Linked DNA regions of Caenorhabditis elegans. The protein of the gene in region 1 interacts with the protein of each later gene in a pairwise test. Each region holds a gene or a part of one and is shown in the gene's direction. Other genes may lie near its edges.

What was found.
Region 2: the proteins of W04B5.3 (region 1) and abu-14 interact in a two-hybrid assay, tested with the Caenorhabditis elegans proteins (one large-scale study listed by BioGRID).

What each region holds. Positions count from the first base shown.
Region 1 is NC_003281.10:2,416,625-2,424,680, forward strand, and holds W04B5.3 (Galectin), read left to right. Parts: upstream 1-1,923; 5' UTR 1,924-2,038; coding exon 2,039-2,059; intron 2,060-2,161; exon of another isoform or gene 2,162-2,182; intron 2,183-2,511; coding exon 2,512-2,679; intron 2,680-3,000; coding exon 3,001-3,117; intron 3,118-3,324; coding exon 3,325-3,390; intron 3,391-3,437; coding exon 3,438-3,495; intron 3,496-3,804; coding exon 3,805-3,968; intron 3,969-4,681; coding exon 4,682-4,918; intron 4,919-5,047; coding exon 5,048-5,119; intron 5,120-5,826; coding exon 5,827-5,976; coding exon of another isoform or gene 5,977-5,985; exon of another isoform or gene 5,986-6,329; coding exon 6,330-6,471; intron 6,472-7,102; coding exon 7,103-7,164; intron 7,165-7,211; coding exon 7,212-7,235; 3' UTR 7,236-7,288; downstream 7,289-8,056. Other genes in the region: W04B5.5 (non-specific serine/threonine protein kinase), read right to left, coding at 949-1,044, 1,107-1,242, 1,297-1,428, 1,487-1,567.
Region 2 is NC_003280.10:9,224,415-9,228,846, reverse strand, and holds abu-14 (Activated in Blocked Unfolded protein response), read left to right. Parts: upstream 1-1,632; 5' UTR 1,633-1,689; coding exon 1,690-1,779; intron 1,780-2,359; coding exon 2,360-3,157; intron 3,158-3,201; coding exon 3,202-3,435; 3' UTR 3,436-3,661; downstream 3,662-4,432. Other genes in the region: ZK1067.3 (uncharacterized protein), read right to left, coding at 3,758-3,808, 4,230-4,432.

The sequences.
Region 1 (8,056 bases):
CTATTGTCAAATTGTTGGCAGAAATACGGTATTTATTCACATTTTCAGCCCAATTTAAGGTTGAAAATGTGAATAAATACCCGTTTTTACTGCAATCAATACGAGTAGAGGCACATAAGTCACGAAATTTTTAGAAATTAAGCTTTTTAGGGATTTTTTTTTTTGGAAATTTCGGAAATTTGATAAATTCGGCGAAAAATTAATTTTTCTCGAGAAATATTTGAAATTTGAGGAAAACCCTAAATTTTGGGAAAATTTATCACAAATTTCAGAAATTGAACTCGGAATCTATTTAATTTAATAGGAAATTCAAAAAATTCTCGGAAAAAACCGTGAGGAAATGGCTGAAAATCAACTTTTTGCAATTGGTGGCCTAGAAATTCAAAAAGTTCGGCCACCAAAATTTTTTTAGCTGAAAACATGCGAGTCGGGGTTAAAAATAGTGAAAAATCCGATTTTAGCACCGAAAATTGTCAAAAAATGCCAAAGTTTCTGGAATTTTCGGTCATTTTTCACGTTTTATCGATTTTTTTTGAAAATTTTAATGTGTTTCCCCTTTTAAAATCTCGAAATTTCAACAAAAACGCCCTAAATTCGACTGTGGCCTAGAAATTTCGAAAAGTTAGGCCACCATCTGTTTTTTCGGCTGAAAATGCTAAAATTTCCGCTGATGTAGTGAAATCTGCACAATTTTTGCCATTTTTTGGAGAAAAATTCGAGTTTTTTCGGAAAAAAATCCAGTAAATTCAGGAATTTTGCTTTTTTGTGTGGAAAATTCGAAAAACATCCATCATTTTCGATTAGTGGCCTAAAAATCGTAAAAGTTCGGCCACCTAGAGATTTTTTGTTGGAAAAAACGGTGTTTTGCAATAGAAAATGGGTTTATTCACAATTTTCCAGCGGTATTACCGGTTTTTTCCTATTTTCAGCGTAAAAATCGATATTTACCAAGTGCTGACAGCAAATTGGCCGCATAATATCGAGAATCTGCGACGTTGAACTTGGAATCCGGCTGTTTTTGCATTAAAGTGCAGAGATCTCCGTCTGAAATTGAAAGAATTGAAGTTTTCAGCTTTTTTTTCGAGATTTTTCAGCTAAAAACTCACATTTAGCATATTCTAGAACAAAATATAAGCTCTCCGAGTCTTGAAAAGTCGCGTATAACGTCACAATTCCGGGATGAGCGTTTTCTTCACGAGAAATCAACGCCAGCGCCTCTTTTTCACGATGAATATACGGAACCTGGAATATTCATCGATTTTATTCACATTTCCAATAAAAATCGGGTTTAAAAACCATTTTATTCTTCAAAATCAGCCTTTTCAGGCAGATTTTCAGCGCAACTTCCGGATTTTCGTCATTTTTGGGTTCTTTTCGACGTGCCAGGTAGACCGTGCTGAATGAGCCCTCGCCGACTTCTTTTTCTACCTGAAAATTGAAAAATAAAATTTAAAATTTGAGAAAACCGGTTGAAAAATACACTTACTGAATAATCCGCTAAACATTTCATATTTGAGCCTTCCCGGCGCGCATTTTGCGGATTTTTTAGATTTTCCGGCACCTCCATGACACGTAGAACCTGAATTTTTAGAAAATTATCGAAAAAAAATTGAGAAAACGAGAGAAAATCGATTTTTTAAGCTGGAAATTGATGAAAAAAGCTTAATGTCGTCAAATAAAATGCCCTGGTACGCAATTACACCGGAGCCTACGCGCAAATGCGGACTTGCTGCTTTTGGCGGTAGTTCAAATAGGATTTTCTCGAGAAAAACACTTTTTGATGAGAATATCCGATAAAGAAGCCATGATAAACACAAACTTTGAACTTTTTCTCGATGAACTATTGATTTTTCCGTATTATTTACACACGTGCACATCATCTTGTCAATATGAAGCCCCCGTGGCACTGTGTGAGGTTGACTCAATATTTGCTTAGCGATAAAAATACTGAAAAAGGTGCTGCGGCAACTGATAACGGACACTTTTCCGAAAAGTTATTCTCGAATATTCTAATTTTCTTGTGAAATACTACCTGACTATGCAGAACTTTGTTTTACCGGTAAGTTTCGCGAAATTTTTGAATTTTCGCCGCATGCAAGCGCGCTCCAATGTGAATATTTCAAAATTTTCAAATGAAATATTGAAAACAGTAAAAAATCAATAATTATGGCGAAAAAAAAACCAAAAATTCTGAAAAATCGTGAAAATGCGCTCCAATGCAACTATCGCAATTTTTCACGATATCGCAATACACGTGGTGCCAGTTGTCCCATTACGGTTTGATCTACAAAAAATGCGGGAACTTTTTGCCCAAAAAAAAATGTGACGTCAGCACGTTCTTAACCATGCAAAATCAGTTGAAAACTCTGCGTCTCTTCTCCCGCATTTTTCGGAGATCAAACCGAAAAAAGACATTCTGACACCACGTTGCAACACAAAAGCAGTAGAAATTGTTGTTGCAGTTGCAATTGCGCTCTGACGCAAATTTTCGACAAAGTCAATAATTTCCAGACAATGCCGTTCCGTCGGGACATTCCAGCCGGCTTTCCAGTCGGGACCACATTTAAATTGACCGGAAAACCCTACGAGGACATTCAGAAGAGCATTTTCGTGATTTTCAACACAAATAATGGAGATCAGGCTCTTCGCGTCGAGCTTGTGCTCGTTCAACCGTCTAAAGTGATTCAGAATTTTTATTTGGCTGATCGAGTAAAATTTTAGCGGGAAAAAAGACTATAAATCGATGATTTTCCGTCCGAAATTGGAAAAAAAATCTATAACTTTCAGAAAAATTGGAGAAAAATCAATAATTTTACCGAAATTGGAAAAAATCGATATATCACAGAAATTTTTTTTTCGAAAAATTCGATAAATTCTGAAAAAGCTGTCATAAAGTCGATGTCACCTCGAAAGTGATTTTAAAAAATCAATACTTTTCCAAAAAATCACTAAAAAATCGAAAATTCTCTAAAAATCAAAAATCAATATCGATTTTTCCAGCTAAAAATCGATTGCACCGTATCACAAAAAAAGTCAACCGCCGTCGAAACTCTTGTCGTCTGCCCGTTAAATCAACGGGCGGTGCTGAAAATCATCACCTCCCAGCACTCGTTCCAGGTGAGAATTATTGATTTTATTGATTTTATTGATTTTTCCGGGGGCGCGAAAAATCGATAATTTCAAAAAAAAACTTTTTTTCGAAACCCTTCCATGATTATACTTAATTGAAAGCTCGTTTTACGCTTAATCTGATAATAGTAAAACTATGGGTCTTAACACGAATATCGTCGTGTTACTGTAGCTCCAAACTTTCTTTTTTTCCAGATTTTGTTCAACGAATCCAAGGTTGCAGATTTTGTGCACCGCGTCGACCCCACACTAGTGAAATCGGTAATTTTAGCGAAAAATCGATAATTTTCATAGTTTTTGAAATTCAGGTACTTGTCAGCGGTCCAATGATCACCGAAGATGTCACTATTACCCCTGGAACATCCCGTAAGTAGTGATTTTCTGAGAAATCGAACAATTTTTAGGAGTTTTGAGTGCGAAATTCGAATTTCTCTTCAATTTTTACTACTGACAATGTATTTTCCGCTCAAAACTGGTTTTTCTGCATTTTGTCGTAAGATCTGGTGTGTGGTGGTGTTTGCGTACTTTCGAAGCTACAGTAACCCAAAATTTTTAGAATTTGAGCCACAAGCTCAGAAAAAAAGTGTCACGGGGTGAAATTACGCGAGGAATTCGAATTTTTTATTGATTTCACGAAAATTTCAAGTTTCCAACTACAAAACCAAAAATTTCCAGAACCCCTTCCATCCTACGAACAAGCAACATCTCCACCGGTAGAAATGATGGCTAATATGAATCTGGGAACTCCTCAAAAAGTCCCACTTCCGGATAACGAGCCATTCCCGCCAGCGCCAATGCCTCAGCCAGCCGCCCCGCCTACGCAGATCACTATGACTACGGTAGGTACAGTAATCCTTGGAATGGCAATTTATATATTTATCGCACTGTGGAAATTAAAACAAAAAGAAAAATGCAAAAAACATCGCAAAAAGTGATAAAAAATGGGGAAAGTTGGGTGAAAATAGACAAAAATACAAACTTTTCAACGTTAAACTGATGGCTTAGAAACCCAAAGCTAGGCCACTAGTTAATATTGATTTTTCTAACAAAGATAACATTTTTCCACACATTTTAAGCCAAAAATCAAAGAAAAATCTTTAAAATTGACAAAGTTATGGATTTTCGAAGATTTTCGAAAATCCAAAGCTTCGAAAAATTCAATTTTTGAATTTTTGAAAGATTTTTAGAATATATTTCAGGTTTTCCATACGATATTCAAGTTCACCGTGCCAAGACCTTCAATTTGACACCCATCATGACTATATTCCGATCATTTTGGGTCCCACCGCGAAAACTACAGTACCCCTGGGGATTTTCGTGGTGGGATTCAAAGTGAGCGGAACCTAGTCCTGATGGGTTGAATGTGAAATTTTAGGTTTTAGAAGAGTTTCGCTAAGAATTTGAAAAAAAAAATCAAAAAATTAAGATTTAAAAAAAATTTCGATGAATTTTCCTTCTTTTTCAACCAATTTTCCCCAGTTTTTTTTTTGCATTCCCCGTAGTTTTTCAAGCTCTATGATATGAAAATCATCCCAATCTGAAAAAATGTCAGGCTCCCGGCTCAACAGGCACCACCTCCTCCTCTTTCTACTTTACCGGCGGCTCGCAGGGATTCTCGAATCATCCGTACCCACTTCCGGGATTAATCGATAATTCGACACATGCATCACAGCAGAATCCCGTTGGAACATTACCACCACAAACTTCCATGCCAAGTGCACCGCCTATCACTCAGGCTCCGCCGACTCCGGCGGGAGCTGCGTACACCTCGCCATATACCAGCGTCCCTGTAGGTTTTTTGAAATTTTTGAGTGAAAATTTGAGTTTTTCGAGTTTTTCGCTGCTAGGAACTTTTTTTTCGTAGATTTTAGAAGCAGCAAATTCCAAATTTTAAACCCTGAAAAATTGAGATTTTCAGATGCCACAGCCTCCGTCTTCCGTTCCACTTTCGTATACACCTGCGCCAACTCCATCGGTACCATATACAGTGGTAAATGTTGAGAAAATGAGAAAACTTTGAGAATTTTTGAATTTGAAACAAAAACAATAATTTTTGAACTTTTTGAAAAAAAAATTTGGAAATTTTTTTTTTTTGAAAATTTTTTTCCATCAAAAAATTCTAAAAATTACCATTTTACGCTGAAACTCAAATTTTTTTGCCGAGCTCACAGAGAGCTTCAATTTGACACCCATATCGGCTATATTCCGATCATTTTGGGTACTGCCACGAAAACTACAGTACCCCTGGGGACTTTCGTGGCGGGACCCAAATTGAGCGGAACCTAGTCATGATGGGTTTCAAATTGAAGCTCTTGCTGTCCTAAATTCTAACTTGTATATATATTATGAAGCTTCTAGTAAAAAAAAACTTGAGAAATAATTTTCTTTAAAAACTTTTTTTTTTCGAAAGTTTTCGAAAATCCATAACTTTTTTAGTTTCTGAGAAATTTACTTGAATTTTTGAATATTATGTTCAAAAAATGCTGAAAACCCGCAGAAAAATATATTTAACCATTTTCATCTCGAGACTACAGTAGCCCAGGAGTTTTCGTGGCGGGACCCAAAATTTTGATTTTTTGTTCAAACCCCTATCTGCTTATACTTATTTGAAAGCTCTCCACGAGCAAAATTCAAATTTTTAGCTTAAAAGTCTATAACTGAGCTCCTAGAAAAAATTAAGGTTCATGAAATTTCCAGACCTACCCCCAATCGGCTAATTCAACTCCAGGAATTCCTCAGCCACTTCCCCAACAAATGTCACGTCAACAGGCTCCAATCTATCAAAATCAACAGCAAATGCCTCCGGGATACAATCCTTATCTCCAACAGCAACAGCAACAGATGGCAGTAATTTGAAAAAAATTTTAAAAAATTCGAAAAAAAAAATTTCAATTTTTTAAAAATGAAAATCAATAACTTTTTCGCTTAAAAACCTAAATATTTAACTCTAGCTCGTGGAGACCTTTAAAATGACACCCATATCGGCTAGGTTCCACCAACTTTGGGTCCCGCCACGAAAACTACAGTACCCCTTGGGACTTTCGCGGCGAGACCAAAAGTGAGCGAAACCTAGCCAATATGGGGGTGTCATTTTGAAGGTCTCGACGCGATAAACTCAAATTTCATAATTTCAAACACTTTTTCTTTAAAATTAAATAAAAAATTGGAAAAAGTAAAAAATTCCAAAAAAATTTTTTTAGGCCACCGTCCCAATGCCATATCCCTCAGGAGCAGCAGCAGTTCCAGTGTCTGCAATGGCACCACAAGTAGTACAGTACCCAACTACAGTAGTCCCATATTCGTATCCTGCCGTTCAACCGTATCCCATGTACCAACAGTATCGTGAGTTTTTTGTTGAAAAGAAAAATTCAAAATTCAACTTTTTTTTCAAAAACTTTTTATTCTGACTCTTTTTAATTCTAATATTCGTATTCAGCTCACCGAGAGCTTCAATTTGACACCCATCATGACTATATTCCGATCATTTTGGGTCCCGCCACGAAAACTACAGACCTCCTGGGGACTTTCGTGGCGGGACCAAACTTCTCTAAAATTGGCAAAATTTAAATATGATGATGTTTGGAGTAAGAGTTTGGCAAGTAAATTTTTGGAAAAATTTAGAAAAAAAAAACGATAATTTTTCGAGATTTTCGAAATTTTTCGAAAATCCGTAACTTTTTTAATTTTCAACATTTTCATGAGATTTTTGACATAAAAAATGCAGAAATTTTCAAACTCACCCGGAAAAATAAATTGCACCTACCAAACCTGCAAACTACAGTACCCCGAGACTTTTCGCGGTGGGACCCAAAATACTTTGCTACACGCGGAACATAGGCATGTTGGGTGTCAAATTAAAGCTCTCGGCGTACTAAAATCAAAAATTTGAATTTAGAAACTTTCCAGTTACTGTAGCAAAAGTGTAAGCTGTGTCAAAAATTCAATTTCCCGAAAAAAAAAAGAAATTTTTCAGCAATGGGCTATGGCTATCAACCAGAAGTCTACTATTACGACGGAGGACACCATCATCATAGGGTGAGAGAAAATCAATAAAAATCGAAAAAAAATCAATAATTTTTCAGCATCACCACCATCATTGCGACTAATTTCAAATTTGAATGATTATCGATTTTTTTAAAAAATAAAGCTATTTTCATAGAATTCGGAAATTAAAGGCTTGGACCCAAAATGTTCCAAAACTACCAAATTTCGTAATGAGACGTTCTGAACATTTTTCAAAAAACAGTTATGGCCGCTTAAAGTTTAGGAAAAAACTGTATATTTTTGGCTAAAATCTCAAATTTTGGCAACCGCTGAGACACTGAAAAGTTGAGATTTGAGCTAGAAATAGACCATTTTTCCAAACTTTGAGGGGCTTATTTTTTAACTTATTTTTGAGCCATTTTCAGACCGTCTCATAACGAAATTCGGTAGCCATAGATCATTTTGGGCCAAAGTATCAAAACTCCATCACTTTCTCGATGTAAACTGAGCCACCCACCCACAAGTCTGCTCCATTTCTGCGAATAGTGCAATTTATAACCATTCGTTATGACACTTTTAGGGCTATTTGCTAGGTACTGCTGTTGTTGTAGGTAGGTATGGTAGGCGTATTCATCTCCCGGGGGAGTGACGGGTGTTCTCCGACGGATCTCCTATCATTTTACATTTATCCTGGGCGACTGGTGGTTGCCTTTTGTTTTTTCTCTAGTCATTTTTTGCTGGTTCTGTGGATTCCTTTACGGTGAGTTTTTAAAAAAAGTATTTCGAATTTAAAGTTATTCTTGACATTTTCTAGAGACCACAATTCAATTGGTACTTGTGTATTATACCGTGTGTATTAATTGTATAGTTTTGCCGATCTGATTTTCAGTTATTCGACGTTTGGTTTTTTAAACTAGGTTCACTCAATAGGTCGATCCCGTCA
Region 2 (4,432 bases), on another chromosome or scaffold:
TCTGAATTTGTACGTGATAAGCTCTCGTCAAAAACAAGAAACTACATACATTGCTGCTCACAACGAAATGCGTTCAATTGAAATTTCTATTTGCCAACCGGGAGCCTCCAGACGGTTAAAACTGTCAAATGATGTGATTCCGTATGACTCATCAATGTCTGACCCAGAAATCCGGTCCTCTCGGAGTTTCTAGTTGTTTTCCACGTGTTCCACGTCACAATTGAATTCACATGGCAACCAGCTGCATTGCATTGGTAAAGTGACCATTAAATTCAATACGAAAAGTAAGCAAATACTTCAATTGTGTGAGTTTTAGTTGACCAACTTTTCATCAGGTTCATGAAGAATGTGAATGAAAAATGTTTTTATTCACTGTGAAGTAGGGGAGATCAAGAGATAAAGAACAGGCTAGATTTGGAGATACGAAAAGCGACAAACATGTGTTTTTATGTAAGCAGTCTTCTCCGAGCATCTTTTTATAGATGTTCGAAATACTTGAAGCGAAAAATTGCGCAACTTGAACTAAACAAGATAATCAGTGCGGTTGCTGCTATTTATGGATGATGATTGCTCGCGAGAGGGGGTCAGCAGGGACGACATTCCTACAAAGGGCATAAGGAGAATGAAAAAGTATGCGGGTAGAAGAAGAGAGCAAATGAGCATTGAGAGCATACTGTATTTAGTGATAAGCAGAGATTTTTGATATCTAAGCTAAGAGTGTCCGGAACATTTGGAAACTAGAAGCATTGGTCATGGAATTTTATTTAGAAAAATTGAAAAAGGAAGTCACACACATAATAAATTATGTGCATCTAAAACGTTAAAAAATCCAAGTATTGTACCGATTTTAATATTTCCAGGTACTGAAAGATTTTGAAAAATAAACAATTTTAGCAGCGTTTTTTGAATTGTCTTTGCTTTACATTGAAAGCTTATATCTCGGTTCTCTTTGGTTTTATCAAAAAATTGTCAACAAACCAAATGCGTGTAAAATGTTTATCTATATATCAATAGTAGAACATTTTTTGATATAACTCATGACAGTCGAGATATGAGTCGTCAAATTAGAGCAGTCGTGGTAAAAACTTTTAAAATCACAAATCAAGAAAGATAATTAAATTATTTTTCGCTGTGTGACCATTTTTATTTCAGCATGCGCTTCAAAAAACTACCAAGTTGCGTTATCATATTCTTTGGTTTACTCCGAAAATTTACTGGTAGCTATATAATTTACCAAAGCTGAACAAATAATCCACTCATTTGGTGAATAGTTCTAAAGTATACAAGCTTCAAGTCATACAGGTTATTTCAAAACTACAGTACCCTTCAAGGCTTTGAGGACCTCCGGTTTCCGAGTATGAATTATGAAATGTTTTTCGTCTAGTCCTCATTGTCTCAATCACTATCTCCAGGCAAAAAGATGAGATCTCTTGAGGGTACTGGACTCTCCCTCAATCCTCCGATTCAAGGAGTTGTTTCGAACGCTTAAGCACTCCTGGCTCCGCGCGGGGCGGAGTCGAAGTGTGCCGCGACCGACCGACCGCCGGCGCCTTCCTCCCCATTACCCCCACCCATCTCCCGCCGCTATATAAAAGGTACGCAGTGCCATCTGGACAGAATACAGAGCCTTCGAGTTCTAGTCCTTCTCCTTCTTTTACCCAACTCATTATTCCCCACATTTTTGTTTCAATGGCAGCCCGCAGAGCAGCTTCGATTCTTCTTATCGCCGTTCTGGCCCTCTCCAGTACCTTCGTCTTCGCTGACGAAGAGACTGTCAAGGTAAATTTCTTTTTTAAATACTACTTTTGTACTTTTGAACATTTATTTAAGCATTCAGTCATACTTTCCCTCTTTTATGCTCACTATTATTTTCGTGTTTTCTGTGTACCTAACCATTAGGACACGGCGCGGATGTGGGTATTGAATGCACAATGTGCATGAATAGGAATAATGAATAGGCTTTAGGAACAAGCTGGTTATGATCATGATCTTATTGATCATGCCCAATTGAAGCATAGCGTCTAGTACATCAGGATCCAAATTTCAGCAATCATTTGTTTAAATAACTTTTCAATTTTAACTATGATGCTTCCTTATGACTGTCTAGACTCTTATTTCATTTATTCCCGTCATTGGCCATTCCTTGAGACCTCACTAATACAAAGTGAAGTGGTCATTTCAAGGGGTCAGCTGGCTTCTTCTCCTGCTCTTTCCCCTCCGATAAAAACAGGAAAAATGATAGTGTAAACAAAGGGCGCATGAAGATTCTCTCCGCGATTGCCCCCCAGAGTGTGCGCGCAAAAATCTAAGCACACTGTCTTTCCTTACGGTCAAACAAAAGAGCCCTAAATAACTGCAGAACGAGACCGGATTGGCGTTGTCGCGTGCCAAGAGACAGTGCTGTTCATCCAACTCCAACTCATGCTGCGGAAACAACAACAACGTGCAATGCATCCCAGTTTGTCTGCAACAGTGCCAGAGCTCATGCCAAACATCCCAATGCATCCAACAATGTCAGCCAGCTTGTAACCAACAGTGCGGAGGAAACAACCAAGTCATCCTTCTTCCACAAACCAACAACTGCAACCAATGCCAACAACAATGCATCAGCTCCTGTGCCACCCCAATCTGTGCTCAATCCTGCAACAACCAATGCTCCAGCTCTTGCGGAAACTCTGCTCCACAAATTGTCGTTCTCCAACCACAACAGAACCAATGTGGATCATGCCAGTCTTCCTGCCAACAGACTTGCCCAACATGCAACTGCCAATCTGCTTGTGCTCCAGCCTGTGGAGGAAACAACAACAATCAGCAAATCATCGTTGTTCAACAGGACAACTCATGCTCATCCAACTGTAACAACCAGTGCTCCAGCTCCTGCAGCACCCCAATCTGCATTCAGTCCTGCCAATCCTCCTGCCAACAGGCCTGCCAGCCAACCTGCCAGCCACAATGCATGCCATCCTGCTCGTCTAGCTGCACATCCAACCAGGCTCCAATCGTCATCGTCGCTCAACAAGGAGACTCATGCTCCAACTCGTGCTCCAACCAGTGCCAGTCTGCCTGCCCAACTCCAATCTGTGTCCAACAGTGCAACTCTCAATGTCAATCCCAGTGCTCGAACTCTTGCTCCGGAAACAGCTGCAACCAACAACAGGTAATAATATTGATTTTCCATTAATTCATGAATCAATATTACAGGTCATTGTCCTCCAACAACAAGACAACTGCCAGAATCAATGTCAATCTTCCTGCATGAACACTTGCCAATCATCGGCTACCGTTCTTCAATGCCAGCCAATTTGCCAACAAACCTGCCAGAATACCTGTCAACAAGCCGCTCAAATCGTTGTTCCATGCCAATCGAGCTCTTCTGGATGTGGATGCTCATCTGGATATTCTCAATGCGGTGGATCATGCTGCCGTCGTCGTTAAGCATCCCCTTCCCTGAATTCTATGAACGAATTCTTACCGTATCCGCGTTTTCTATGCGACAACTTCTGTTTTCGTTTCCCCATCCCACTTCTCACATAACTTTTATTATGACATTGTCTGTAAATAAGTGGTAGCCATGTGAGGTGTCTAATTATTTTATTATTGTTCCCTTCTTTTTCATGATGTTTCATTGTCCTTGAGTTTCGACAATAAATTATTCTAATTTAAGAATTATACAAGAAATGTTTTCATTCGGCAAAACATAAAATAAAAAATCACATATATTCACAGTAATCAATCATCATATAATAAATTGTATTGTTTAGTCCTGTTTGAATAGTCCTCGAGCTGAGCGACGAAGGGTTGAGCGACGCTGAAAAAAAAATTTAAAAAGAAGAAAAACAAATGTATCCAAATTAACAGTTTTTCTAAATTTATTATTGATTTTATTCCGAATTTTGCAAATATAAACGAAGTTACTGAAACAAATTCGAATTTTCGACAGAAGTTTCAAAATTTTCGCGTTTTTTATTCATTGGTTTCTCTTGATTTTTTCCTTGATCTTTTTTAATTGTCACCCAAAAAAAAGTCGTCGAAATTTCAAAATTAGCCTAGAAATGAGTAATGTAGCATTAGTTTCAACTCTTTTTTTTCGGAAAACTTTCTGAAAAAATGACAAAGTATCGAATCAAACACTAAAGAATTTTTCAATTAATGAATGAAAATTCCATAATTCGATAGAAAATTAAAAATTTTGAAAAAAGAGCACATGCTTGTTATAAAAATGCACATACCCTTACAGCACCAGCTTTCATCATTGAGCTTCGTCGTTTTTTCTTTTTCTCTGGAACATATTCCTGCACATCGGAATCTTCTTCGGCAATATTCATAGCTTCCAAGATCGAACCGAGAGGAGTAATCGGAATTGGACCATGGGAGTTTTTCTCTGGCGATTTCACTGCGGAGATATTCTTCCAGTTCTCGATTGACTTTTCAA